Cricetulus griseus: one gene and its partners. The protein of the gene in region 2 purifies or fractionates together with the protein of the main gene of each other region. This does not show direct contact. Links are inferred from orthologs where the notes say so. Each region holds a gene or a part of one and is shown on either strand. Other genes may lie near its edges.

Region 1 (4,557 bases), on a different chromosome or scaffold from region 2:
TATTAGCTAATCCCAAAAGCCCAGAGTGAACACAATGCTAGTCACCTCCCTAAATACAGCTGTAAGTGGATCTCCATTTTCTTCTCACTCCCAAATTCCAGTGACAATAAAAAGCAGATTTCTGTTTTCCATACTGCCTACCATAAGAGTTGTATTCTGAGCAGAAATAGCAATATGGCCTATAAAAGTCATCCCATTTGGCTAAGGCACTGAAAATAACCCAGGCTCCCGGCATGGATCACACTATTAATATGATCCTATTGAATAATGTAGCTGTTAGCCAGCTTTACACTCGAGGTGCTTTCAGGATTTAAACAGTGAAGAACAAGGATAACAAACTAAATTTAAAACACTCCACTGGAAATTATATTAAACTGCAAACTATAAATTAAACCAGTTCCTAAGCAACAATCTAAATAGAATTTTTAAAAAGCCCTCTAAAAACATGCACTTTCAAAAATAGCCAACTGCTTTGGAGGCTTCACTAGCTTGATTCTGCCAAATGTATATATAAAATTCCACAAGACGTAAACCAATTTGAAATGAAATAAATCTCTCTGAGGCAAAAAGAGAATTCCTCACTATAATTAAAAATATATATTAAGTCCTTTGTTGGCAAAATATAGTTTTAATTTTTAACCATTAGAAGAAGAACAAGTATGACAAACAGGATTTCTCTAATTAGCTTTTCTTTAATAATAATAATAATAATAATAATAATAATAATAATAATAATAATAATAAGTCAAAGCCAGGCAGGGTGGTGGTAAGGACTACTAACCCCAGCCTTCAGGAGGCAGAGAGATAGGAGAACCATGATTTCATGATAAGCTTTAGCTACATGTGATCCTCAAAATAATAAAAAAATGCCAGTTTACTCAAGTAGCTAACATAAGAGTCCCCATATTTCAAGTCCAACTACTTGTAAACAATGAAGTCCAGTTTTACTGAATAAAAAGCCACCACATTCTTTCTTAAAAGTAGACAGTTACTTCAAATACCTTAGCACTGTTACTGCAGATTTGAAGCCTAAGGGATCCCTTGGGAATAACGGAGGAGGTCCCAGTCGGTGAGATTTTGCCTGGCTATTCTCCCTCAACCAAAGCAGAACAATCAAGCTGCCAACTTAGCAGCCTTTGAATCGGGCTCCTGACAATTTTAAACAGCCGACAGCAACACTGACCTTGTTGGCACAGCAGTATTCCTGACGATGCAATTTTGTTTACAGTCTTACATATCATAAACTGCATGCTTTGTGTTGGTTTGCCTGGTGGCCGAAATATCTTGTGGGCACAAAGCTGTGTATTCCAAGTAGATTAAACAAACTATCCACCCTCCTGGGGGGAGAAGGAGCGCGACCCCCACACCTCCACTTTCCCCCTCATGGAGAACAGGACACTCAATAGTTTCAGCTTCCCAGAGGGACTTTTGCTTTGATAGCCATTTTCTTCGTTGTCCCCGACTCTCAGAATGAAAGTATTTCTCAAGTGGAAAGGTTTCATTTGAAATATCTTTAAAGTTCTTATTAGAAAAAAAAACCCGCTATTTTTCCCAAAACTTTAGCCCAGAGTCTTCTATTTTCACCAATGGGAATTAGTACCTGACCCCTCCTATTCTCCTCTCGCAGCTCTTGCCTCCAGGTACCTTCCTCCACACCCCTGCCTTCTCCTCCTAGCAAGCCCTCCCTCCAGAGGGGAGGGAATTAAACTGCCCAGGTTGTTTACACCTGGTCCTGCCCAGCCCGGGTCTGGGCTCTGGAGATGGGAGATACGGACCTGGGCGTCCATGCCAGGCTGCTCAGCTCCCTCGGTCCCACTCAGAATCTTCCGAGAGAGCTGCGGGATTTGGCCAAGACTGGGAGGCGCTCCTAGACCTGCCTTTCTTTGCACATCTTTGCCGCTCTGGCAAAAGCTGTTTCCCAGACCTGCGAACGTTTTCCAAGCTGGCTTTGTGGGTTGAGACCCCCCAAGCGGGGCACAGAGGGAGTGGGAACCACCGGGGAGCGTCTGTGCGTGCAGACAACTCAAGAGTACCAAAAAAGGGAGCAGGTAGGCGCCTAAGCAAGAGAGGACGCTAGGGAAAGGAACAATGTGTTGACACCAGGTTCGGAAACCCCAGCTCAGTGCCACTCCGCCTGGGGAAGAAGGTCCCTACCGATGACTGATGGAGCAGCAGGCAGCTAGGACCCAAAGTGCTGGCGCTCAGTTGCAGCAGCACCCACAGCTGGGCGCGGGGCCTCTCCCACGGGGCGTCCTCCCCCCCCCCCCGAGACACACGAACCCCCGCACACAAAGAGCATCTCCACACCTGCCTGGCGACGGACGGGTCGCCTTTCCCTCGCTGCTTCCCCAGGTCTCCCAAGAGGTGTCAGGCACCCCGAGACTAGCATTTGCTCGGTGCCTGGCGGAGCTGAACAATGGGGGTTGAGATCCTCCGTGAGCACCCCAGCAGTGGGCAAAGGGGTCCCCAAGGACGCATGCGGGGAGCTTCCAGAAGGACCGACGGGCTCCTAGCACCTCGGGGGCGGCGGGGGTAGCGTCGCGCTACTCGAATCCGCTTCTGGCCTTGGGGGCAGGCACCCCAGGGAAGGGACATCCGAAGGGCACACCCCGGGGGAAGGAAGGGGCATCCAGGAGAAGAGGCACACCAGGGAGGGGGCACCCCAGAAGGAAGGGGACACCCCTGGGAAGGTGTACCTCGGAGAAGGAAATGGAACCCCGAGGAAGTAAGGGGGCACTCCAGGGAAGCACCGGGCATCCCTCGGGGAGTGTCCGGCGGGGACCGGGGCACCACCCCCAGCCCGCATCTACACCGTTCCCGGAGCCCAGGGAACTCGGTTACCGCGGCCTCCGCCGTGGCCCCCGCCGGGTCGTCCGGGGCGCGGGACAAGTCGGGCTCGCAGCTCGCGCCGTCCGTCGCCATCTTCCTGCTCTAGCGGATCCGAATGCGAGCTCGGAGCAGCGGCGGGGCTCTGCTCTCGGCGCGGGCGGGCGGGCGGGCGGCGCTTAACCCGCTGCTGGCTGCGGCCGCGGCGCTCTCAGCCCCGGAGCCCGGCCGCCCCCTCCCGCCTCCCGCGCGCACCGCCCCTGCCGCTTAACCCTCTGCGCGCTGCAGACGCCGGCGCCCCGCCCACCCGCTAGCCTGCAGCAGCCGCTCCCAAGGGACCAAGAACCAGCAAGCAAGCGAGCCGCGTGGCTTTGAGCTGGTGTTGGGGAGACAAACACCCCAGGATGCAAAAGAAAATAAGCTTCCTTTCCGGAGGCGATGGGCTGACAAACTCTTGACTTAGCAGGACACAAACCGAACTGGATGTCAGGCCCTTGGATGCTAAATCTAAGATCTACGGTCGAGGAACCATCATCCCTCACTTCGACTAGCTCCATCGAGGTGCCTCTCTTAATATTTCCCAACTCTTGCCTTCTGAACACTTCTATCCTCTTGATTTATATACACCCAGCTTTTTTTTTTTAATCGCATCTTCGATGCTCACCCTCTAAAACGATCAACTTTCCGCTGAAAGTCTGTGCCTTGCTGTTTTTAAGCCCCTCAGCTAGGTGCCTTTCTGTTCGATTCTCTTTTTAAGGAAGGTGGAGACCCCCCCCCCAGGGGTCCATCCAGAAAAACCACCAAGTATCAGTGATGTCTTAATACTTTTGTGAGAACAGCAACTTCTCCGTGCAGGTGAAAACCCAAATATACACACACAAACCTTTGACAAAATGGTCGATTGGAAATGCATGGTTGGGGAGTTAGCACGAATGAGTTAGGCCAAGACACTTAACTTCCCCCATCCTGCCTCTAATTCCATTCTTACTTTTTCCTGCCAACTCCCAGAATCTGAAAATTTATCACCTTGCTGAGACCATATGGTAAGGAGGTCCCTAAAGTTCCAGGTCCCTAAAGATGTGTTGAAAGCACAAAATCAAATGGAGGCATTCAAACTGTCTCTGTGATGTCATCAAATCAGTCAAATCAACCGACAACCCAATCCCACACTTGAAATTCTGGAAGATGAATGACTGGAATGTTCAGTCCAAGTGCACAGATCAAAGCCTTTAAAACAAAACAAAACAACCTGCTCCTAATGAGAAGTTCTGACACCTTAACTGCTCAGCTTTCCAAACTGGATCCAAGTATGACACATCAGAGAAAACCTTTTCTACAAAGACACTGGAAAGAATTGGTCAGCAAAATCTAGAAAGTTTGCTCTCAAAAGAGAGGTCAAGGAAACTTCCACCTGAAACTCTGAGGTTAAGGGTCAGATTTTAGGAAGCAGATGGAGGTCATCCTGATTCAGGGCTTCCTTTGTTTATTCTCTGTGGCTTCACTCAGGTGGCCAGGCTCGGTTTGTACTCCTGTTCATCACACAACTCTCTTATTTAATCGAATATTCTCCTGAAATTGCTTAATATGAGACTCTCTAGATTTCTTGTAAGATAAAAGAAAAGCATTTGACAGTAAAAGGTTTTGAACTGATAGTAAATAATTAAAATTAGAAGCAATGATATTTCTTATTCTTTTCAAAACTCATTTTTGCACATCGTTCGGCCATCAATT
Region 2 (4,022 bases):
GCTCCAAGCATCTACTGCTGCTCAGTGAGAACTGGTCTTAGGATTTGGCTGCCAGTTCTAATGATTACATTTATTTTTGGATGGGTAGGTATGTATGTACCACAGTGTAAATATTAGAAGACCACTTATGGAAATTGGTTTCCTCCTTCCATGTGGTCCAGGGATCAAACCCAGGTTGTTAGGTTTGGTGACAAGTGCTTTTACCCACTGAGCCATCTGGTCTTGGTCTTTTTCTTTTCCTTCCTTCCTTTTTCTTTTTTGTTGTCGTCATCTTCTTTAAAAAAAAAAATAGGTTTATTTACTTTACGTGTATGTGTGAGTATATGCATGTATGCATGTGTGCATCACATGTGGGAAGTGCTTGAGATCACGTGGGCTGTTGGGAACCAAACCCATGTGCTCTTAACTACCGAGCCATCTCTCTAGCCCCCTGGCCAAACCAGAGCACATACGGACACCACAGCTAGTCTGCTCAGAGTGCCTGCTCTGGGCCAGGCATGGCACTGTGGCACACACTCGGGCCTCTTGGAGGCAGCTTTGCTTAGAGGGGTTAGGTGACTTCTGTGTTAAGACACTGCCCTTGTGCCTGGAGTTCTTCCCCGAACTTCTCTCTGCTCACCTCATCTTGTTCTGCAGTTCTTGGCTTGTCGAGGGCTGGGGAGTGTGGTCCTCTGTCTCTTCCCTTTACTTCTTTCACGGTTAAAAACCTTAAGAATGTAGCTAGTTGGCAATTTTGTCTCAGATGGGGTCTGAAACCAGTTGCTTTGCTTGCAGAGAAGAAGCTGGGGCAGTTAGGCTTCAGGGAATCAGGCAGCTATGTCAGTTTTGGAGGACAGGCTTCTTAGAAACATGGTAAACACCTAGGACAGGCTCTTCCCTAAGCAGAGGGATTTGCGCATCAGTACTTAGACAGTTGTAAATAAGTGTGGTTTTGCCTTTTTGTGTCTCGGCCTCCCACCCCCCCATTTGGGAGCTGAATTCCAGGCCTTGGGCATGCTAGGCAAGTGCTCTGCCACTGAGTTATTTCCATGGTCCCCCCCTTAAAAACAAAACAACACCTCTCCGTGTGTGTACCATGGCATGTGTGTTGTCACTGGACAGCTTTGGGAGTCAGTTCTCTTCCACCATGTGGTCTAGGGAACCAAACTCAGGTTGTTAGTCTTGGTAGCAAGTGCCTCTACCAGAAGAACCATCTTACCCGCCTGATTTGGGTTCCTTTTAACAGGCACCAAAATACTGTTTGGGGGACATCCTTTTGGGGTGACCATCTCCTAATGGAGGTGAAACTTAGCATGGTTGAAAACCTGGATGAGACTCAGCATTCCCCTTTGAGGTCTTGTGCCAGCGTGGCCAGTGGTATGGAGAACATGTTCTTTTCCAGTCTGCCAGGTAGCACAGTAGGGACATTCAGTGGTGGCCCTGGGAGAGGCTCTTCTGCTTCTTTCCTCTCTGGAGGCAGCCCTGATTCAAAACCTAGCGTGGTTTGGACAGAGCACACACCTTTGCCATCCTGGCTCATCTTCAACATGATCGGTTCAGCAATGATAAGATCCTAGTTAAATCTGAGGGCTGTCTAGGGTAGCTTGTAATGATAAATCTTTACGCCCAGCTGCCTGAGTCCTGCTGCCATGTGGACGCTTTCCACCAGGCCATCTGAGTTCCGCCCGCCACCACATTAAGGTCCCAAGTAACTCCCAGAGACTTATATTAGGTACAAATGCTTCTGTGTTTAGTATCTAGAATTAAACATCTGAGAAAGTGTTCAACTCAGTACTGGTATGAGAATGTAGCTGGCTAGAGGACTAATTTGAGAATAGAGAGGCACTTTAAGTATGGAAAACATAAGTTAGCTTTGCTAAATTTTAATCTCTCGTTTTGTTTTTGATTTTTTGAGACAGAGTTTCTTTGTTTAACAGTTCTGACTATCTGGAATTCTGGAACTAGCTCTGTAAATCAGGCTGGTCTTGAACTCAGAGATCTGCCTGCCTCTGCCTCCTGAGTGCTGTGACTAAAGGCATGCGCCATGCCTGGATGAATTTTACTTTTAAATTACTGGGGCTATGCACATGTGAGTGCAGGTGTTCTCCAAGGCCAGAGACCTCAGATCCCCTGGAGCTAAGGTTGTAGCAGTGAGCACACACTGTAAGACCAGTGTGTGCTCTTGGCCACCAAGCCATCTTTCCAGTCCATTACTTTGTTGTTTTTTTTTTTTAGAACAGTTTTAGATTTATAGTAAAATGAGTTTTACAGTACCCTCTGGCACGCACATACTCCTACCTGTCATTCCTGATAGGTCTTGGCCTGGCTCTCTGTTAGACAACTGAAGAAGGCACTTTGAGATGTGGTATTGCTAATACATTTGATTCTAAATATACATTTGAGTTGAGTCTACAGATACTTTGATTCACTGTATCAAGTCTATTGAATATAGTGTCACTTGGAGAGTGGAGAGTTACATTTAGGTTTTCTGGACAAGGGATAAAGAAGCCAGAAAAGGATTGAGGTGAGTTCTCTTTAGCTCCTTGCAGTGGCCCAGACCCTCAGTCAGCAGTCAGCCCTCTTCTAGTATTTCCTCTAGTGGGTGTTGTCTCAGCATTCTGTCCCTTCTGGCTTATGTAGAATTCTCGTGTGGACCCAGAGGAACTCTTCACCAAGCTTGACCGCATTGGCAAGGGCTCGTTTGGGGAGGTGTACAAAGGCATCGACAACCAAACCAAGGAGGTGGTGGCCATCAAGATCATTGACCTGGAAGAGGCAGAGGATGAGATTGAGGACATCCAGCAGGAGATCACTGTGCTCAGCCAGTGTGACAGCCCTTACATCACCCGCTACTTCGGCTCCTACCTGAAGGTGCTGCCAGGAGAGGGGGCATCTATGGGAGTGGGGGGGCACTGAAGGCTCTGTGCCAGGGTTTGTCCTGTTTCCAGAGGAGTTACTATGTACCCAAGGTAGAGGAGAGCAGAGAAAGGCACTGCTGGGCACATGGGGATCCCTCTGGAAGGGCAAAGAGGCTCCCCTTTACCCCAAAGCTCAGCTTCACAAAAAAGTCTGTTCTTTTGAGAAGTACAATCTACAAGAGTCAGGTGGCTCTAAAGTGGTCATAGTGACCCAGCTGTCTTATCTGTGGGTGCTGTTAGGTACAGTCTAAGGGGTCCCTGCTGGCAGTACTGTGGAGGTCTGCCAGGAGGGCACTTGGGCTATTGAAAAAGACTTAGTGACTGCTCTGGGCACTTGGTCTGTCCACCAAGTGCCTGTACCAGAGGTATGGTAGCTGGGTGGTCAGTAAGACCTTTTCTCCTGCCCCTTCCTCTGGACAGGGTCTCTGCAGACCAGCCTGGCCTTGAACTCACAAAAGATCTGCCTATGTCTCTAAGTGCTGGAATTAAGGTGTATGCTTCCTTTTTTTGTTTGGTTTTGTGTGTGTGTTATTTTGTTTTTAAGACAGGGTCTCATTGTGTAGTTGTTTGTCCTGGAACTCAGCCACCTGCCACTCGAGTGCTGGGATTAAAGGCATGTGCCACCATGCTTGGCTTGGCCCTTCTTTTTAAAAATATTAATTTATTATTATTTTTACCTATATGTGTCGCGTGCGTGCGCGTGTACACGTGCGTGCCTGAGGAGGCCAGAAGAGGTTGGTGGATGTCCCCGGAACAGGAGCCGCATGCTGCTGGTGTTGGGAATTGAAAGAGCATCAAGTGCTCTTACTGCCAAGCCATCTCTTTATCCCTTCCCCCCCTTTGAAAAACACTTGGTCTCCTTGCCCAATCTGACCTTGAACTTCTGATCTCCTAAGTGCTGGGCTTATAGGCATTTACTACCTTGCCCAGCTAGGACCCTTTCCTATTGGGGTTCCTGGCAGGAACTAGCCTGGTATAGTTTGTGTGGCCTGAGCCCCTAGCTGACATCGTTTGGTGGAGTTAGAGGAACTTGGCCTGTGGACTGCACACTTGGGTATGCCTCCTTCATTTGCTGCCCAGGCACTGACATGTATCTCTGCTCCCAGAGCACCAAGCTGTGGATTA
Region 3 (4,770 bases), on a different chromosome or scaffold from region 2:
CTAGGGTCATGGAGGTAGGGAGGCTGTTCAATGGGGAAGGCTGATGGAAAAGTTCTAGAACCAGACAGGTATAATGGTTACATGACACTATTAATACACTTAGTGTCATGCTTTAATAGACTTTAAGATGATAAATTGTATGTAATTATGTACTTTATATTTTACAATAAAAAAATGATAATTGGACTGGTGAAATGGCTCAGTGGGTGAAGGTGCTTGCCACCAAATTGACAATCTGAGTTCTAAACCAGAAATTCACAGAGTGGAAAAAGAGAATCCATCCCTGTCAGTTGTCCTTTGACCTCTACACTCACACTGTGGTACATACACATGTATGTGCACATGTGTACACACACATAAAAGCAACAATAAATGCAATGGACATTTTTAAAAATGAGAACCATTTCAGCACCTGGGAGGTAGAGATAGGTGGGCTAGGAGCTCAAGGTCATCCACTGTCAGGTACCAACTTCAAGGCCAGCCTAGGCTAAATGAGAACCTGATGGGGGCAGGAGTGGGAGATGCGAATCAAGTTTTCCCAGTGCTAAAGTATCTAGTATGATGATATCCATTCATAAGAGCTAGCAAGTACTGCTCCAAAATGGTGGGATGCTAAGTCGCACAGAGCATGAGTACAGTTCCAGCTCTCATTAAACTCTCTCGAATGTCAAGACTGGGTGCTGCTACTCTGAGAGGAGACAATGGCATTACCGAGAGGAGAAACTTCACTGTGCTTCTTCACAGACAGGCTGTTATCAGGGATGTCACTACATGCAGAGAAGGAAGTCCCAGCATGGTAGAGGCACTCAGAAAGGGGACGGAGACAGCCTGTCCTCTGTAGGGCACCCATGAGGAAGCCTTCACCTCACGCCCAGAAAGTGCAATGGAAACCGAAATGAAATGCTGCCCTCGATTATCAAAAGTGCTCGAGTTCTGGGATGCTCCTAGGATTCCCCTGGCACCTACCAAATGGTCTTGATGCCACTGGCATTCATCCCGTAACAATGCAGATAAGATGCACTTGAACTTTCTGTCCAGAGGCTTCCCTGTGCTTTGCTCTGCTCCACCCAGGGCTTTCACTTCCCTCCCTTCCATCTCAGGCTCTGTTCTGCCTCTAGTAGTCACCCGAGCTGATCTTCAGATCAACACAAGGTGCCAACTGCAGGCTCCTGAGGTGTCTGAGAACTTTGGAATCAAGGCCAGGTGTCTTGTCAGCCACTGACGAAGGCACGGTTACCAGATCTGGTTTTAATCAGTTTGGACCATATGGCCCTTATCTAGAAATTCTTGCATGTGCAGTGAGTGGTTAAGTCAGGGCTCAGCACATAGGAGATGGTCAAACAGACTACAAACATAACGATGAATGAACGACTAGCTAGCTACACCAAGGCCTGCATTAGAACAGGCCAATCCCTCTGCAATAAAGAACTATAAGGTCAAACAGACTCAGTTATTTTCAAAAGCACAACTCCTCTTTATAACTGCCACTTACTCTAGTTTCAAATTTCTGGTTTCTCTGAGTAGAGAAAATGTACTTTAAAATTATCAGGAGAAGCTCATTGGAGGCAATGTTAGAAGGAGCCTATCCAGCCACTGAAAATGAGGCCTTTACTCCGTCTGGGCAAGAAAACACACAAGATTCCATACATACACTGTCAAGCCTGGCAAGAAAGATCTTAGCTGACTTCCACCCTTCCCACCCAACCCCAAGTAAATAGGGCATTTGTTTGTATTTCCACATTGGCTGCACCAACGAAAATACCTCCTCCACCTAGAAAAACAATCTGGAACATTCAGGCTTGGAATATGAGGGCAAAGTTTCAGCACACACTGGAGCACCTCACAGAAAATTATTTTTCATACAGGTCTGTTCTGCAAGCACTTTCCACAAGTTTACACTTAATACCTGGTTTCGTGTTTCTTGATCGCTCAGGGACAAAGCTTTTTGTTGTTATTGTTGTTCTTTATTACAATTGGAACCAGAAAGATAGCAGGGCTTGAAAATTTTACTCTGGGCTGGGCGGTGGTGGTGGCCGCGGCGCAAGCCTTTAACCCCAGCATTTGGGAGGCAGAGGCAGGCGCACCTATATATGAGTTCAAGACCAGCCTGGTCTACAGAGCGAGCGCCAGGATACGCTCTAAAGCTGCACAGAGAAACCCTGTCTCGAAAAGCAAAAAAAAAAAAAAAGTTTTTCTCTGTTTGGGGGAAACACATTCCTTTACACCGAATAGGTTCAGGCAAAGAGTTAAATGCTGTCCTGCGGCTAAGTGGCCGGGGTGGGGGTGGGGGGGTAGTGGCTTAAATTTAGAATCTGTAAAACAATGCAGGGAAACTTTCCGTCTTGGAGAAACGCTGCCGTTTGACTGCCTTTTGTTAAGCCGTGTCCCATTAGCCGTGTCCCATTCAGTTACTTGCGAGAAACTGGCGGGGGCACGGAAACCTACAGAAAGATTCGCGCAGGACCCCGGTTTAACAGGTGGCTCTGACCACCTCCCGGGTCTCAGCCTCTCAGGGGACACGGTCCCCGCGCGCAGTCGGGCGCCGATCCCCTCCCCAGGCTCTGGGAAAGGGCAGTGGGGACTAAAGCCTGAGAGTCAGGGACCCAACGCACGCAGACTACACGCCGTGAGCCACAGAGCGCTCGCCTTCGGGAAAACCCTGAGGTTTTCCTGAGGAAGCCACGCGTCGCGACCCCTTAAGACCGGGGATGAAGGCTATTGGGTGGCACTGACCTCGGCGACGACGGGCGCCCCAGCTGCGAGCAAAGAACTTCTCCAACTTCAGAGACCTGGACCCGGTGCCCTCGATGATCCGGACAGCTGCTGCCGCGCCCCTCGGCCGGCCTGTCCCAGCTCAGTAGGGTCGAACTCACCGAGCCAGGTCCCCTCCGTGGGCCGCAGGTGTCCACGCCGACTGCGACCCGGAGCGCTCACGCAGTCCACCCGTCTGCAAGCCGCGCACACCCGCCGACTGTCCCGGACGGCTCGCCGCGCGCTCCCCGGTGCGCCCGGCACCTCCCCTCTGCGCGTTCACTGTCGTGCGCGCTCCCGCCACCAGGCGGCTCGCTCCGCATCTCTGCCGCGCGTTCCCGGCCTCGGGACTCCAGTTATTCAGAAGTACAGTGCGCGCCCCCGCGATATTTAAAGGACCAGAGCCTAAAACCCCTAGCTGCGCCTTTGGCCACCTTTCAAGGTCTTCTTTTACTTATGAGACTGAAATAAGGGTTAACCATGTGACATCGTTATGCGGATGTGCTTTTGAAGTCCTGAACGAAAGGGGACTTCTCCACCAACTTTGAGAGTTTCATTCGTGTTTGTTTTTTGAAGCAGGGTTTCACCATTCAGGATGACTTCAAATTTGTGATCCTCCTGCCTCAGCTTCCTGACTTCTGGAATTACAGGCATTCAACAGCAACACTATCTTGGAGAGATTATTTTCATTTAATAATAACAACGGCAGCCATTAATGAAATACTTATACTCTCAGACATGTGACAAACATTATTTCTTTTAATTCGTTTGGACAGTGCTTATTTTATTTTTTTCCTATTTAATTTTCTTGGGGGTAGATCTTTTGTTTTTGTTTTTTGAGAAGGGGTCTCTCTATATAGCCTTGACTGGCCTGGAACTCACTATGTAGACGAGGCTGGCCTCCAATTCAGGGAACTCCATCTGCCTGGCTGGGATTAAAGGCGTGTGTGCTACCACACCCAGCTTTATTTCTTTTTTAATGAACTTGTAAGAGCTGCATATGTTTGTGAGGTACTTGTGGAATGTTCCTGTACTCGTGCATATTGAACAGAGTTTTTTTTTTTTTAATCAGAGTAAACATAGCTACAGCTCCTCAAATAATCAATTTTTTTCTATGAAAAATCTCAAGATCCTCCTTGCTTTTTTTTTTTTTTTTTTGAGAACTTTGGTTTCTTTTGGTACAGCCACTTATTTATTTACTCATTTGTGTGTGTCTTGAATTGCTTCACGAACCTAAAGGTCATAGGGCATTCTTCAGAAGGTGGTGCTTTCTTGCAGCACACAGGCTAAAACTTGGGGCTCATGGCAAACGCCTTAACCTGATGAGCCATCTCCAGGGCCTCGTGCTTTGGTTTCTTATGGTCACTTTACAGAGAAGGGATATTGAGGTAGCCAAGGCTGAAGAAATGCTCAGCTTTTGACCCTGCAGTTTGTGTCTATGTCTTTTACCACCAGAAATATTTCTGAATAGCTAATAACAACAGCTAATTGTGGGAGCCTTTTGTAAGTGGGTGGAAGTTAGTGTTACTGGTGAGAAAGCCAGGGGCATGTGTTTTGTTAATTGGAACGACAGCCATTGCAACAATCTATATTCCCAGAATGTTTGTGTTTATACCCATTTCACAGAAAAGTAAGGAAGTGGCTGGCTGCACAAAAAGACTGGCTTATAGGCAGCTGTCAGGGCTGAGTCCAATTCCTCGGTCATTAGATCATACCTTGGCCCTCCCCAGGAAGAAGAGCTACCTGATTAAAGGGAAGAAGACGTTTTCTCTAATAACACATTGGACTCACCTAGCTCCCTGCATCTTTAATTAATGTTTACAAAGCACTTTAATCTGCCCAACATGCTAGTTAATTAAGCAAGTATTATTATGCCCCTCTTTCTGAACCAAATCCAGAAGAGAACCTAACCTGACAGTTCCCCATCCTTGATGAATAAAGATCCAAGATTTCCATTTCTGTTGGGTTTTTCTTTGTTTGTTCCTCTCACTCTTTGTCTTGTATTGTGTTAGGTGTGTG
Region 4 (2,941 bases), on a different chromosome or scaffold from region 2:
ACATACAATCACACTAATATTTATGTGCTTAAGTGTTGAACATGTAAAGGGGCATGTAACTATACAGATATATGTATACTTCCATTTGGGCAGAAGTTAATTTGGTTCCACAGTTACAAGTGCTGGCAGCATGGAGAATAAATGTAACAATTTGGTAAAACCTGTATAATTCTGACCTACAATATTACAAAGAGTGACTTTTAAGTTATTGCTTTTTGATTACAGAATAAAGAGCTCATTAGGTCATTTCCTATTCAAGTAAAAGCAACCAGAACCAGAAGTTCCCAACAGTCGATGCTTGAAGGTGGTTTGGAATGGAGATGTGATTTCACTCTATTCTAGAACTGATGCAGGAAACTGAGAATGACTTAATTTTTCAAAAGTACAAGAAAATCAGCACCCTAACTGCTTAGTGCTCAGGAGGGTTTCTCAAGGGCTTAATGAAGCGCAAGGCTCAGCCTGGCAGAGATCACGCCCCTTTAGAAGGATTTCCACTCCACGTATGCAAACCTTGGTTTGGAACACAAAGCTGGTATTGAACAGTCGGAGAGGATTAAAAGCAGTGTTGGCTTTTGACATTCAGATTCAGAGGATCTCATTTTCTGCAATAAATGCTCTGTCTTTCGGCTCTGCCGGAGAATCACATTCATGTGGCAGTCTTATTTCAGGCACTTTTAAAGCATGTTCATCTGGGATAAAAATCTGCATGAACTGCTTCTGCATAATTTGAAATGAGTGCTGAGTAATTCTAGCTCCCAAACTGACAGCAGATCACCGCCAATTAGCTATCTCCATCACAACATGCTGGTGACTGCTGAGCTTGAGATGTCTGTGGGGTCCCCTTCTAGCTTAGTACAAAGAGGTGAGTCATAAAACCCAAAGTACTCAGTTTCTACTTAAAAAAAAAAAAAAAATACAAAAAGGTAAATACACTGAATGTATTATACAGATGGCTGTAGCTACTATCAAAATAAATAATATGATCTGACTCCAAGGTTTAACTCTGAGCTCTTGGATGACATCTGATGGAATGTCAAGTGTGGAGACTCACTCCAAGGGACTAGCTGCTGGTGGGCAAAAGTATCTCAACGTCTTTGCCGTTGGCCACCACAGCACTGGGAGAGCAGCTGCTGGCAAGGTCTTCTGTACTGGTCAAGGATGATGCCTGGGAATGGGTTTTGGTCACTGCAGTGGCCGCAGATTGGGACGGGGTGAGGCCAGGTTTTTTTGGGGGGATTGGCGGAGGGTTTCCTCTCTCGGCTCTGGGTATGGTTGGGGACTTGATTCCTGGAGATAGGGGGCTCAGAGGGCTGGACACTTTCCCTGGAGTAGGGGAATGGCTGGTGTCACCTCTTGGGTTGGCAGTGTTGGCCAGATTTCGGTAGTCTGTACCGAAGGGAGAGCTGTTGGGAGAGACTGGCTTGATTGGCCCTTGGTTAGTGAATCTGGAGAGCACCTGTGTGACCGTGTTTCGGGCCAGCTGCTTGGCAGCAGAGTTGTCTAAAAGGGTAGGGGACAGGTCCCTGGACGGAGGGCTCTGGAGACCACTGGCTTGCTGGTCTTGGTCTGCTTGCGATTGAAATTTGTGCCGAGCCGCGTGGAAGCGCTGGTTGATCCCTACTTGGTAGGAGGACTGGTAGCCGGGGCTGCTGACTGATGACCCCAAGAGACGCTTGGTTAAAACTGGTGAAGAGCAGGGAGATGACGTCAGAGAGGAGGAGGCAGTGCTGCTGGGAGACAGTGAGCTGCCACTGGAAGGGAGGTGACTTGGCATTGTGACTGGAGTTTCAGTTCCTACAGGACACCCACCATTCTCCATTGGTTTCTCCTGGGCCGATGCCACAGACTTCTCTCGTGGAGGCCCTTGGTTTTCTGTGCTGCTGCCTGAGGTCAACTCCCTAGCAGTTTGGATTTCTGGGTCACAGTGGCCATTGGCTTTTGCATATGAGTAAGCAGGAGTGGTGGGGCATGGAAGACCAGTGTCTGTCAGCTTGGCTATGATGCTCCCGTGGCTTCTTTCCATTTGAACATTCTCTGTTTGGCAGAACACAGACACTAGCATGGGGGGCTCTGTGGCTGTGCCTTTGGACGTGGTTACTGGCTCTCTGCACTGCTCACTGGTGCCACTGTGCCGCTGGGCAGCCTCGAGGTCTCTCACAAACTTCTTCAAGTTTTCCATTTCCTCCTTCAGGGCTCTGGTCCGGTTCTCCTCTCGGTTCAGTTTGGCTCTCAGCTGTTCCCTCTCAATATCAAACTCAGACAACTGCTTCTCCACCTGGGCCTCTGTCTGCAGGCCTCGCTTCCTCTCAGCGGCCAACTCCTCCTCCAGCTTACTCACCCGGCTCTTCTCCTTCTCCAGTTTCAGGCTCAGCTCTCCGGCCTTCTGCCCTTCCTCGGCTGCCTTGCTGGTGGCCTTCTTGCACTCAAGCACGAGCATGGACGAGAGCTGCTTGTGGCGGGAGCGCTCCTCTTCCAACTGACTAGACAGCTTCTTTTGTTCTTTTTCAAACTTTTTCACTTGGGACTTTTCAAATTCCAACTAGAAAAAAAGAAGCCACCACACATCTTGATTAGAGTAGGAAAACAAAAGGATGCACTGAAAATTATGATCATGTAGAGTGCCCTCGCTAGCTGCTCTCTGGTGCACACTCGGTATTAGCAGGAACGCCACGGTGCTTAGGTTAATTAGTATTTTTGAAGTATGAAAACATCCCACACAGAACCCCCACATACTATGATTTAATCATTTCTTGATGACTTGGGAGGCATTTGAGTTCCTAACTGCCTCAGGGTGAACAGCGGGAATATGATGCACCATTGTGTTTTAGGTATGTGGAGAGAACATAGAATCAGCCAAAACAAATAACAGAACACTATGTAAGCTAGATCTGGGGATGGATGCCGCTGAAAATCAAACTTAAAAGTTCCAGCAATCATTTTC
Region 5 (4,022 bases), about 7.5 Mb from region 2:
AAGAGAGCTTGTCAGTGGGAAAGCAATAGAGCCAATGTGTGTAGTGTGGAAGATGAGAGCAGCCTGTGTGAGCAGGCGTCAGCCTGTGAAAGGCAGTGTGCTTTGTGAAGGAGTGGCCCTAATCACTGTGAGGTTTTCTCTCTGATCACAAGGGAAGAGGTGCTGAGAACAGAGAAAAAGGCTGTGTTTGAAGAGTTGGTGAGAAGGCTCCAGGGTCCTGGGTTCCACTGTGTACTCTTAGGGTCCCCAGGTTCTCTGTGATGGATATGCTCTGTAAAAATCTTAGAATGAGGCTTGCAGTTTGGGATTTGCATGTTTCCAAGAGTCTGGAAGTACTGTTGTAAGTGCTGTTTATTTGATGGAGCTGTGTTTATACTATGTTTAAACTGAATTCCTGAATCTGGAAAGGGAATTCTCTATTACTCTTTTATTCAGTTTTGTGGTTCTTCTGGTTGTTGTGAACATGGTGGGTAAAAAAAAAAGCGCTCATGGATAGCTGACCCTGGCACTTCCTTCTAGATCTTTTCAAACATAGAACTTGTATTCTTGTGGTCCCTGCCATAGCTGGTTTTTCTTAATTGAAGGTAACTGTCCATCTCTGCGCATAGCTGTAGGTTCCACATGAAGAGACTTTGCTGTGTACTCTTTAGAGGAAATACCTTTTGTAACCTGCTGTGGTCACTTAGAAATGTGTGACACTTTGAGAGAGTTTGATGTGCTCATTTTGTTGTTTCAAAAGAGCAATCATATATGGCTTTTATTTGTTTTGTTTTGTTTTGTTTTTACAGGTATGAATCTCCAGAAATAGCTCTTAATTGTGGAATAATGTTAAGAGAGTGCATCAGACATGAACCACTTGCAAAAATCATTTTATGGTCGGAACAGTTTTATGATTTCTTCAGATATGTTGAAATGTCAACATTTGACATAGCTTCAGATGCATTTGCTACGTTCAAGGTAACATTTAAAGACTTGAATTCTAAACACACTTGCAAGTCAGATCAGGTTTGCAGTTTCCCAATCTTTGTCTTCCTCCACTACTCTATACATGACTGCCCTCTAGTGGGAGTAGAAGAGATGCATTTTATATGTGTTGGTATGTTTTAGGTATTTGTAGTAAAACCACAAAAAAAACCAGCCTAAATTAAATTCTCAAATCTTATCAGAAAGGCAAAAGTCCTCTAGGGTCAAAATTGTATGTAGGGGACTGGATACTAACATTTTCTTTCTACAGGACCCCACATGACTATCATCGTCCCATTTCAGCAGGAAGTAACTTGGAAAATGCTACGCCCCCTTTCCCCATTGTTGTCACTTAGGATAGTGTATATACCTTGTTAGGAATAGCTTCCTATTGTTTATGGTTCGGTTTGGAAGGAGGTGTTCAGGCTTGGACACCTCTTTCAGATGACTTTAGGGTTTAGTTAAAATAGATAGTTATCTTCTTATATTTTACCTTTATACTGTTAAGTTTTAATCCTCTTTTAGACTAAAAGGGGAATTGTAGGGGAAGCTGTAGCCACGCCTTCTTAGGGGCTGGCTACAGGAGTACCTGAGGGCTTGTGAGGGCGTGGTCAGAGTGAGTAGGGGGACTGCGTTTCGGTTTCGGTTTCTCTTTGCTTCTGGCTGTACAGACTACCACCGGCTGGCTGGTTCGCTCTGTAAGTAAGGCTTTTCCATATTAAATACCCTTATATTTCTACCTGACTCCGTATTGGTAATTTACTACTATAATTGTACTTTCCTGTTAAATTATCTTTTAAGTATGGCATAGATAACATACACAATACCCAACGGCCAGGCTTTCTCTTGTAATGGGCATTCTGCAGCACTCCTTTGGTTAGCACTAGACACGGTGATGTATATTGGCCTCTGCTCAGAGGCCATGTTTTTGGAATATATGTTATTAAATACAAGAACCATATTTAGTATGGAGAAACTGTTGTTGACATGCCCACCTCCTCACGGCAGAGCATAACTGAGTCACCTCAGAGGAACAGGACCATCCCTCCTGCCTCCCTATCCCATCCCCTCTGCCTCAACTTACCTCCCTGTGGAGTTGCATATACTGAATGTACATGTGACCACCAGTTTCTTTAGTTGCAAGCTTCTGTTTATGAATGAAGCAGCAATCTTGTATTTTCTTTTTTTCCCCAATGAGAATAAATCTTGATGTATTGCATTTCCTTAAATGTCCTTAAAAGTTGTTGAATTAGGGTTTCATATACTTACATGTAGCTCACTCACACACAGAAGCAATGAATACACAGTGAGAAAAAGCTCACTTTCCTTGTAAGAGCTCAGCTTTTTAATAAGGAGCCCCTGAGGTAAGGACTTGGTCTCTGGGTAAAGTACATATGTGAGGGTGCTGAATATATTAGGACAAGATGAAAGCCTGGGGACTGGCCAGTAGGGTTTCACCCTGACTGAGAATAATGTCACAGTTTTAGTGGTGCCAAGGATTTATCTCCTAGAGTCAGTACAACCTCCACAGAAGCTTTAGGTGAAACCTTACATACATATATGTAACTGTCATGTACAAAGCAAAGTGAAATGAATTTGAGATCATAACATAGAGTGATCACTATGATGTCTTACCCCACCACTTCAGTGATACCTAGGACTCATGAGAATGCCTCGATGGAAGGGGGTGCCCCGTTCAGGAACAGCAACCCAGCATGAAGGGAGGTGTAGTAGCACCCAAGTCAAGGAGAGAACCCTGTATGCAGAGAGACAGCCAGGAACCCGAGAGTGGCAGTACTCTGGGCACAGGAGGGTGAGGGGAAAGGATTGAGGAACAGCAGTGGTGTGGGAGCCCCCTGACCACAGGGAGGACATGGATGGCATGCTGCTGGCACAGATGGCCAAACTGGCTCCAGGGTGAGAGATACGTGCTGGCTACATGCCAGAAGTGTGATATCTGATGGTCTTGTGTGGCCTTGCTGGTAATTTCATCTCAGCCAGGGTTGCTTCTCCCCAAGGAGAAGATGGTGGTGATAGAGCCACTGTGGGTAACACAGTCCTGCCAGGTTATGGTAGCAAGAAAGGGGAGGATTTGGCAGAGCTAGGCAGGTGGTCTCTCCTTGAAGAAATGCATTTCAAAAACCACTTGGTATTCAGAGGATGAATTGCTCCAGAAGAAGCTCTGAGCCAGTCTGGCTCTAGATCCCGGTGTTCCTGGAGACACAGAAAGGGAGAGCTCATGAGAGGCTCCTAATAGTGAACAGAGCGTGGACTATACATGTGCAAGGAAGAGAGACTACCATCCGATCTCAGACTAGCCAAGTACCAGACAGATCCAAGCTACTTTATTCCCTGATGGAAATTCTGGTCAGAGCAGGAGGACCACCCTGAGGGACAGTAAAGGTGCCCGTGAGAAGTAAGCAGGGCTCCTCCTTTCCTGTTGGCTGGCATCTCGCTACAGAGGTGGCTTTCTGCATGTTAAGCTTTGAGAAAACATATTCTGCACAGTTTTCAGACACATGCAGTTTGTGGAACAGGTGCTGTGTCTTCACACTAAAACCATCCTTTCTAAAGGTGTCCCGGATCCAGAGCTTGACTGAACACTGAGCTAGCAAACCAGATGGCCAAATACCTGCTAGTGACTGGGGGTTTGTTTTGAGGGATGAAAGAAACAGATATTTATCATTCCAGAATAAAAAAAGAGCGTAGATTCCCCCAGAAAACCCAGCAGAGCTTGGAGCTTGAGATTACACCTGTGACAGGTCTCAAGAGTGTTTCCAGAGAGATGAAATGTAAGCATGCATTGCTAAGAGAGAGTTTGATCTGCTAATCCTGAGAGTGCACAGATCAGGAGTGCTAAGGGTGTGTGTGCTAGTTAAAAGTTAGGTAAGATACGAGTCCAAAAAGTACACATCATTGCCATGGTGTGTATACCAAGCAAGTTGCTGTAAAGTGAAAATTTGAGGGCATGCATGCTGGATAATTACCAGCCCTGCAGGTGTTCTCAAGGAGTCAAGGGAGGTGCGCTCACAACTAATTGAGCAAATATCTACCCACAT
Region 6 (4,022 bases), on a different chromosome or scaffold from region 2:
CGATCTTTGGCATTCACTTTGAGGAACAGAGCACTTCAAATTTGATAAAAACACAATGCCATGGCCATCTACAAGATTCATGCTCACAACACCAAAATTAGCAATATGATGCAGTGGTCAAGAAAATATGAACCCCATATGTTGTGATCTGAAAGGAATAGAAACAAGCCTCAGGGGCAGGGGACAATAGAGTATACTAATATCAGCAGTTATCTGATATTATGAGCATTCTTAAAAACCACACAGGTCTCCTTTCTTCATCCAACTAGTGAGAAATGCCAAGTGTCTAATTAATAACATGCACTACAATAGCCACTGGAAATGAAACACCACACAGCTCCTGTGCTGAGAGCAATCACTCATCCATCTCCCCAGCCATACATTCAAGAACTCTTTAAGCCCTTAGAGTCTAGGGGCTACCATGGTGTGAGGGCCATCGAGCTTCTCATTGTCTGTACCTATTGAGAAAGAAAGGGAAGCATGTGGCTATAAAGTCCAGCTTTGAAATTTTAAATTAGTCATACTGATTAGAATAAAATTAATAATGAAACCCAAAGAATAGCAGACAGTGTGATAACAGGACTTTATCCAAAACAGTCTGCATTATAAGCTCTTTGTGTGGTGGATCCCCAACTATATGTCATCAGGAAAATGCTTCTAAGTTCATTTGCTTAGGACAGAGTCGAACAAAAAGCTGAAGTGACTCATCCTGAAACCGTATGTTCTTCCACAGATCCAAATACACTCTACACCTTTATCATGAGGAGGGCAGCAAGGTGAGTATGTCTCTAGAACACCCTTCTGTTAGGCCTTACTGCACTACTGAAAATAAAAACCATTCCACAAGCCACAAGAATTTACCTCAATGCCTCTAACTGAACCAGACCAGACTGACAACTGGCCTCCCACTCACCACGCTCAGCTCCACAATCTGACAGACCCTACTGCTCACAGAGCCCATGAACTCACCAGCTGGCCTGCCAGCAGCGGCATATACTCAATGATAGCCAGGCGGACCCTCCACTTGGCATCTTCAGCCAGTTCCACTATGGCAGGAAGGAGAGACTGAGAGAGCTGACGAATTCCAATCACTTCATTTACACAATCCAAGTTGGAGATGATATTCAAACGAACTTCAGGACACTATAAACACAAAAGTCCAAAGACTACATGTGAAAATGAACTCCTTTGCCCAGTACCCTCATGGCATGATAAAATAAAAAGTGCTAAATAAAATTCAGTACGGACTCAGGCTTAAAAAGGTGTGTGGGGGGGGGGGAGGGGGGACACAGAGCTGAGATATGGTTTCGTGGTAAAACATGTCAGCTAGCAGAGAGCCCTGGGCTCAAAAGCCAGTACTGACCAAAAGAACTACAGGCAGAAGGAAATCTTAAATGCTAAATACACAGATAATCCAAGACACAATGCAACTGATCTTAACCAGAATGTCAGAAAAAGCCTATGAGATTTCATTATTTTGTACACCAATTTTAAAAAATAATAAATTGGCAGGCAAGATGGCTCAGCAGGAAAAGGCACTTGCCTCATAAACCTGGCAACTAGGATTTAAACCCCAGAACCCATGTAAAGATGGATGAAGGATAGACTCTGAGTTCTGCATGTATGTACATGCATGCACACGGACATGCACAATAAAGTTTTTTAGACTTTTAGTTAATAAATAAGCACAAAGTCTATGAGATGGTAAAAAGCCCAGGCCCTGAAATTAAATTCTATGTACTCAAATCTTAGATCTGCCACTGCTTGGAGACATCATCTTATCTCCCTGTGCCTCGCTTCCTCAGACACATCTGGGAGTAACCCAAGACCTAAACCTACTGGTGCAATTACATTTACTGGCATTACAAAGCACTCAGATCATGCCTAGCACTAATTTTTTAATTTCTCCTTTGGGTATATGTATTGTCTGTGTCATGTGGACATTTTCTATGTGTGTGGGTGCCCATGAAGGACAGAAGAGGGATCCTCTAGAGCTGAAGCTACAGGTAGTTGTGGGACACTCAATGTGGATGCTAGGACTGGAACCCCGGTCCTTGACAAGCAGCAGGTCTCTTATCTGATGAACCATCGTTCCAACCCCTATATGTTAATATCAGATGCTATATTTCAAACCTTAAATAAAAGACACTGTTTAGGCTAAGTTATATTAGGCTTTAAAAATAGGGAACCAATGAGTATAATATAAAAATTTAAAAGACAGGTATTTCAGGGTGGTTTTAAGACTTATATGTAGGAGTGTTTTGCCTGAATGTATGTTTTTGCATCATGAGTGTGCCTGGTGCCTGCAAAGGTCAGAAGGTGGCATCCAATCCTCTGAAACTAGAGTTGTGAGCTGTCATGTGGGTACTGGGAACCAAACCCAAGTCCTTTGAAATAGTAAGTGCTCTTAACTACCCATACACCTCTCCAGCACCTAGTTTTTTTTTTTAGTTGGTTTAAGTTGGTTTTGGTTTTTTGAGACAGGGTTTCGCAATATAGCTCTGGCTGTCCTGGAAATTGCTCTGTAGACCAGGCTGGCCTCGAACTCAGAGATACACTTGCCTCTGCCTCCCTAGTGCTGGAATTAAAGGCAAGAGCCACCACATCCAACTACGTTTGTTTGTCTTTCAGTAAGTCCCTTGTGCTCATTTTTGAGAACTGTAGCACTATACTCCAAGAGGACTGTCAAATATCTTTAAAATTATGGTTTCTTCCCCCATCTATACACTTTAGGTCCTATATTTCAGTAAAATCACATCAAATCAATGACATCAAGGCAAAACAATTCATAGCCAGACTCACCTCATCCTTTAACTGAGCTAAAAAAAGAGGCAGAAGATGTTCAATGGTATTCTCTTTGCCCAAAATTGTAGATAATCCCATAATTACAGAAGCTAGAGCTGACTTCACATGTTGATTGGTATCAGACACTAATTCCTGAAACAGATTAAAAATTAAAGACAACAAGTCTCTACACCACCTCCCAAGTCAACAGCAACAGAGTAGCCGACCCAGACACCCCCTGGTAACAAACCTAAGCACCCACCAATAGTGTACAATTATGACATGCACAAATAAACTCTAAATATTGTCACAAATGTCATGTATTTGACTCATTTATGCCTCGTCCTTGTTAAAATGCTAACAGCTTCATAGGCAGAGTAAGCAAAATAAAATGAAGTCACATTCACCTTTATATAGGGCAGGATTTGAGTCATAATTATGGTCTCTCTACCTTCAGTGGGCAAGTTCTCACAAAGTTCTGAAACAGATAAACAGAAAATGCAATGCTATCAAGGAGCCAACGGAAGTTAACCAGTCTTCCCAAAAGTTCCAAGTTATATTGCATGTGAAAGCAGACAAACTCTAATGGGAAAAATGAATCTGCTGCTCATAGCATGGTCTAAATGCCCGGTGTCGCAAACTAGTTCAAAGGAAAGAAACAAGATACAGCGGGTGTAATGTGTCCTATGAAGCAGCAGCTGCATGCTGACACCATCTCTGTCTGCAACATCTTATCAATTCAAGCTTTCCCAAACTTCCTAACATGACAAACACCTCAAAGTGGATGGAAATGCTGTGACGCAGACTGATTTTTTTTTCCTGATTTGTACATTTTCAGTACTATTTTCATAAAAACACCACACCAAAATCACATCAAATCAAGATATCAAAGTCAAAGGAGTTATAGCCGGACTCACCCTTTACTTTGTGGGCAGCGGCTGCTCGGACCTCAGCTTCACAGTCCTTAAGGAGGCTCTGGAAGGCGGGGATGAGGTCATTGAGTGTGATTTTAGGGCCCACCGCTTTCTGGAGCTAAAAAACAATTTATACAGGTTTAATGTACACTAACAAAAACAGTTAATAACAACAAACTAATACAATCTTCAAATGTATGCTATAACCACAACAGGCTGGCAGGCATGAATGGCAAACACTTTACCCACCAAGCCATCTCACTAACCCCAAAATAGAAAGATTAATTGTCTTCTTTTTTAATTTTGATTCTATATTCAAAGCTA
Region 7 (4,550 bases), on a different chromosome or scaffold from region 2:
ATCCACCTGAACTGCTTTTCTCATCACTTCTCCCATTTCACAGATTCTGTCAATCTGACTTTCAATCTCCTGTGAAAGTAAGATAAAAAAAATAGTTTTTAGTTATTAAGACCATGAAAAGCATATGCATTATGAATTTTAAGTCTATTAAAAGCCTTGCAGAAATAAACTGGGAGGGGTTCATTTAGTACATACTATAGAAGTTACACTTCAATTACACTATCTTTTGAGCCACAATAATTTAAATCTGTGGTACGTCAAATAATTTCCATTTTTCTAAAGACCATTTGACACCCAGGTGCCAGGTGTGGTGGCACATACCCATAATCCTCGTCCTTGGGAGGCTGAGGAGAAAGGATTAGGAGTTAAGGATTAGTCCAAGCCAGCCTGGACTAAATGGGACCTAGCGTCCCCATCCCCAAGTAACAAAACAGACAATAACTCAAATATTTAGATATTTAAAGACATCCCAGTTCCCTAAAACTTGTAAGTCAGTAAAATCCACCTAATGGAATGGGAGATGAAATGTAAATTGTATCTTTCACTGTAGTAAATAGTAGCTTCCAATTTAAGAACTAAAAATTAAAATACACAATACATGCAAATATATAATAAGTAAGCACTGTAGAAACTAAAAACTAGTTAGTTTTTTCCAAATTAAATAGTAAGCAACTAAAACTAAAATAGAGGAACTGCCACAAAATGAACAAGACTCCCCGGTAACATAATGTGAATAATTTAATGAAATTAGTGACTACTTGCTATGTGGAAGATATGGATAAAACTGAACTAATGCCCTCAACACTACAAAACTCATGGTTTAGTAGAACATACAAGTAATCAGCAAAGTATTCACGGAATGCCTTCAACGCTAGCTGCCATCTTGCTTGCTATCTAGCTTGCTATGTAGTCCAGGTTGGCCTACAACTCTAAACTGTCCTATCTCAGGTTGAAAAATAGATGTTGGTGAGAGAGGTGACACCATCCAAAAGGATGTGAGAAGCCCCCGTCCCCTTCCTTTATTCATATCTTCACAAAGCTTCAGTCAGATAGAGTGACTATGAAAACCATGAAAGAGGAACATGCTTTTCTGCAAACAAAACAACAACTCAGGATTTCAGTTTGGTTTATTTATAATTTATGTATCAGGGTTTCCTTACTGCAGAGTGGGACTGGTGAGCTTTCAGAACTGGTTCGGTATCCACTGCTTTTTTAGCAATCATTAACTGTAACATCTGTTTCCGGTACTTGCTCATGATGAGTTCCAAAGCATCCTGGTGTTCCTCCAAGGAAACCCACAGCTCTAACAAAAAAGCAAACATCTGGGCAATGATGTCTGTAACAGGTCTCAAGGCAAACCTCCTAACAGCTGGGGCTTTCTGATACTCCATGGGATATTGTGAATCCAAACTTGGAAATTGGTATTCCAGCCCACAGAAGTGAGTAAAGTCTATCTGAAAAACAATTTTCTAGGCAGTGGACTTTTGTAGAAGGAAATGGGATATGTAATCATAAGACACAGATTTGAATTCAGTTTTCTCATTTACTTGCTTAATTAAGACTCAGAAGCAAAATGAGCCCATTTAAAAAAAATATTATCACATTTTGTTGATTTGTGTGCAAATACCACAGTGTACATGTGTGGTCAGGAGTCATTTCTCTCCTTCCAATGGAATTCTGGTCCTTAGGCTTGGCTCTTCAGGCTGGTGCCATTACCTGCTAGGCCATCTTGCTGGCTCATGTGAACCTGTTTCTTAATTGCATTGTGTAAACACTTGGGTTGTGGACTTCAAAATGACAACAGGGGATGGAACGGAAGGTGTAAAAAGGTCTCTGCAAGACAACTGCCATACTGTTGTCATTACCAACCCGAAGAATGTATATTCTGGAGACAAAGTTCAGCCTTCCATCTTGCCCAGGAACATTAAAAAAAAAATAGATAAATAAAAAAAAAAAACCTACTTCGATATTAACTTTAGTGTTCACTCTAACATATATCAGAAATTACATTTTGAGACTCTGAATTTTAGTTATATAAGCCTCCATCTGGTATGTGCCCACCCCAACCACCAAACAACTCAACTCTACTAAACAACTCTTTCAAACTCATCTTTCAAAGACTTAAAAAAGAGCAACCTAATAGACTTTATTGTTACCAGATGACCCTCTTAAGCACTGACCTTAAGCACTGACCCTAGTTATGAGATGTGTAAGCTTATGAACTTATTCAGGCACTTGTGTAAGAACGTTCAAAGTATTACTAGACATACACACACACAGCCCGACTAACCTCTGTTTTCCTGCTGCAAGTCTCTAATCTGGGTATTCTCTTGAGACAGCAGAATGTGAGGTTTATATTTAGACATGTCCTTCACGTCGGGTGCATCCTCTTGATACTGGACAGAGAGACTGATTAAGCCGCTGCAAACACAGCAGGTGCTGCAGAGGCGGCAGCAGTCCCACCCATTCCACAGGAAGCTCTCAAGCCCTCCCTGTCCTCCGCACCAGGATAATTAGACGGTGACCCCACCTGCCCTCTCCCCGCAGCGCCCACCGCCCAGGGCGCGGCCCGACCCGGCCCGACCTGCTCGGGCAGCACGGCGCCCGCCTCCCGCATCGCCGCCACCCGCCGGTGCAGCGCGGCCGACTGGTCCACCAACGACTCGGCCGCCGCATCGTGCTCGCGCAGCCGCTCCAGCAGCGTCTTGGCGTCGGTCAGGATCTTCTCGATCGTGCAGCTCATAGTGGCCGAGGACGCCCGCCCGGCCCGCTAGCCTCAGCGATTCGCTCAGCCCTTCCCCAGTTTGAGATCAGCGCGATCGCGTCACTTCCGGGCACACTTTAAAGGCGCCTGGGCAGCCTGGTCGGCGTCTGCGCAGTGGCGGATTCGCGGTAACTCAGGCTTCGCCGCAGATTTTCTTGGGTGGAGCCGCAGAGGTCGACTTGGTCCCAAATTCTGGTTCTTCACGATGTTACAGCTGTTCCTGTCTCAGTTCTCCTTTTCTTCTGGTTTTGATGGATGTGGTTTGTTATTTAGTCATGGGTTTTCAACAAATCGATGAAACAAACACCTCCCCCCCCCCCCACACAAGTGAACACACACTGGAACCTCTCACTTTCTCCCTCCTCTCTTCCTTCCTCTTTGTCCTTCCTCTTCCTTCCCACCCCTTCTTCCCTTCTTACTCCCCTCCCCTCTCTCCTGTCTTCCTCCCTCCCTCCCTTCCCATTCCTTTAAAAGGTGAACAGTGACTGAGGTTGTCCTCTGACCTCCACATACTCAACTGCACCTGTGTATACAAATAGCGTGCGCGCGCGCGCGCGCGCGCGCACACACACACACACACACACACACACACACACACACACACACATTAGTATTTCAGGTCTCAAATCGAAGCTATGTTTTGGGATGCTGTCAATGCTTTAAGATTAGATTATGAGGACTGGGACTGTATGCAAAACTACTGAAGGCTACACTTACCAGTGTGGCAGTGGACTTAGGGATGTGGCACCCAAGAAATATAATGACACACAAGTGAGATGGCAGTTCCCTTATCTAATAGAACACACCCAAGAACTGTGACTCGCTAATGGATAGAAAAGAAAAACAGTATGGATTCCAGATCGCCTTTTACCGGTTTATTGTCTTGGGATGCCATAGAGAGTAGAGGGCAGGGGACTTGTGGGAGTAAGTGGGGAAAACAGCCAGTGATACACTAAATTTTAGTTCAGTATGCAATATAAACAGGCAGGTGGTAGTGGTGCACATGTTTAATCCCAGCATTCGGGATGCAGAGGCAGGCATATTTCTGTGAGTTCGAGGCCAGCCTGGTCTATAGAGCAAGTTCCAGGAACTTGCTGGGATTAAGGGCGTGCACCACCATCGCCCGGCTACAAATTCAATTTTTAATAAATTGGAAAAATGAATTAGGTAAGTTTATTTGCTTCACTTCTCCCTCCCTCCCTCCCTCCCCCTCCCTCCCTCCCTCCCTCCCTCCCTTCCTCCCTCCCTCTCTCTCTCCCTCCCTTCTTCCTTCCTTCCTTCCTTCCTTCCTTTTCTTTCTTCTTTTTGTTTTTTGAGACAGGTTTTCTCTGTGTAGCCCTAACTGTCCTGGCACTAGTTCTGTAGACCAGGCCTGCCTCTGCTTTCCTAGTGCTGTGATTAAAGGCATGTGCCACCACTACCCCGATACTTTTTTCTTTATAAAACCTTTTGGGGCCTGCAAGAAGGCTCAGTGGGTGAAGGTGCTTGCCTGAATTCTATCCCCAGGATGCACTCATAAGTTGACCTCTGTGCCTAAACCCCTATAAATAAATAAATGTTAAGATTAATTAATAAATAATAAGTGAGATTGCTCAGCAGTTAGAGGTTCTTGCACACAGCCCGACAACCTGAGTTTTGACTCCTGGATTCTACAAGTTGGTAGAAGAGAACCATGCCCACTGGTTTTCCTCTGACCTCCACCAGACACTTGAACTAACTCTATCCCTCCTTCTCTCTCTCTTTCTTTAAATAAATAAATAAATAAAGCTTAAAAATTGTGAGTAGT

The links.
Region 1: the proteins of Stk25 (region 2) and Cttnbp2 purify together in Homo sapiens (affinity purification with mass spectrometry; 3 studies listed by BioGRID and IntAct, with this or other methods). This does not show direct contact. The link is inferred for Cricetulus griseus from reciprocal best matches to the Homo sapiens genes STK25 and CTTNBP2.
Region 3: the proteins of Stk25 (region 2) and Proser2 purify together in Homo sapiens (affinity purification with mass spectrometry; 3 studies listed by BioGRID and IntAct, counting the BioPlex papers as one, with this or other methods). This does not show direct contact. The link is inferred for Cricetulus griseus from reciprocal best matches to the Homo sapiens genes STK25 and PROSER2.
Region 4: the proteins of Stk25 (region 2) and Cttnbp2nl purify together in Homo sapiens (affinity purification with mass spectrometry; 6 studies listed by BioGRID and IntAct, counting the BioPlex papers as one, with this or other methods). This does not show direct contact. The link is inferred for Cricetulus griseus from reciprocal best matches to the Homo sapiens genes STK25 and CTTNBP2NL.
Region 5: the proteins of Stk25 (region 2) and Cab39 purify together in Homo sapiens (co-immunoprecipitation; 3 studies listed by BioGRID and IntAct, counting the BioPlex papers as one, with this or other methods). This does not show direct contact. The link is inferred for Cricetulus griseus from reciprocal best matches to the Homo sapiens genes STK25 and CAB39.
Region 6: the proteins of Stk25 (region 2) and Ppp2r1b purify together in Homo sapiens (affinity purification with mass spectrometry; 3 studies listed by BioGRID and IntAct, with this or other methods). This does not show direct contact. The link is inferred for Cricetulus griseus from reciprocal best matches to the Homo sapiens genes STK25 and PPP2R1B.
Region 7: the proteins of Stk25 (region 2) and Sike1 purify together in Homo sapiens (affinity purification with mass spectrometry; 4 studies listed by BioGRID and IntAct, with this or other methods). This does not show direct contact. The link is inferred for Cricetulus griseus from reciprocal best matches to the Homo sapiens genes STK25 and SIKE1.

What each region holds. Positions count from the first base shown.
Region 1 is NW_023276806.1:208,097,144-208,101,700, reverse strand, and holds the start of Cttnbp2 (cortactin-binding protein 2), read right to left. Parts: upstream 3,032-4,557; 5' UTR 2,923-3,031; coding exon 2,842-2,922; intron 1-2,841. UniProt on the Homo sapiens protein: Regulates the dendritic spine distribution of CTTN/cortactin in hippocampal neurons, and thus controls dendritic spinogenesis and dendritic spine maintenance.
Region 2 is NC_048595.1:445,072,746-445,076,767, reverse strand, and holds part of Stk25 (serine/threonine-protein kinase 25), read left to right. Parts: intron 1-2,619; coding exon 2,620-2,850; intron 2,851-4,003; coding exon 4,004-4,022. UniProt on the Homo sapiens protein: Oxidant stress-activated serine/threonine kinase that may play a role in the response to environmental stress.
Region 3 is NC_048596.1:223,303,296-223,308,065, forward strand, and holds the start of Proser2 (proline and serine-rich protein 2), read right to left. Parts: upstream 3,009-4,770; 5' UTR 2,734-3,008; intron 1-2,733.
Region 4 is NW_023276806.1:51,981,242-51,984,182, reverse strand, and holds part of Cttnbp2nl (CTTNBP2 N-terminal-like protein), read right to left. Parts: intron 2,540-2,941; coding exon 1,061-2,539; 3' UTR 1-1,060. UniProt on the Homo sapiens protein: Regulates lamellipodial actin dynamics in a CTTN-dependent manner. Associates with core striatin-interacting phosphatase and kinase (STRIPAK) complex to form CTTNBP2NL-STRIPAK complexes.
Region 5 is NC_048595.1:437,527,778-437,531,799, forward strand, and holds part of Cab39 (calcium-binding protein 39), read left to right. Parts: intron 1-788; coding exon 789-957; intron 958-4,022. UniProt on the Homo sapiens protein: Component of a complex that binds and activates STK11/LKB1. In the complex, required to stabilize the interaction between CAB39/MO25 (CAB39/MO25alpha or CAB39L/MO25beta) and STK11/LKB1.
Region 6 is NC_048597.1:162,638,561-162,642,582, reverse strand, and holds part of Ppp2r1b (serine/threonine-protein phosphatase 2A 65 kDa regulatory subunit A beta isoform), read right to left. Parts: intron 3,817-4,022; coding exon 3,702-3,816; intron 3,263-3,701; coding exon 3,192-3,262; intron 2,938-3,191; coding exon 2,803-2,937; intron 1,144-2,802; coding exon 970-1,143; intron 1-969. UniProt on the Homo sapiens protein: The PR65 subunit of protein phosphatase 2A serves as a scaffolding molecule to coordinate the assembly of the catalytic subunit and a variable regulatory B subunit.
Region 7 is NW_023276806.1:53,975,567-53,980,116, forward strand, and holds the start of Sike1 (suppressor of IKBKE 1), read right to left. Parts: upstream 3,045-4,550; 5' UTR 2,744-3,044; coding exon 2,585-2,743; intron 2,397-2,584; coding exon 2,291-2,396; intron 1,304-2,290; coding exon 1,161-1,303; intron 70-1,160; coding exon 1-69.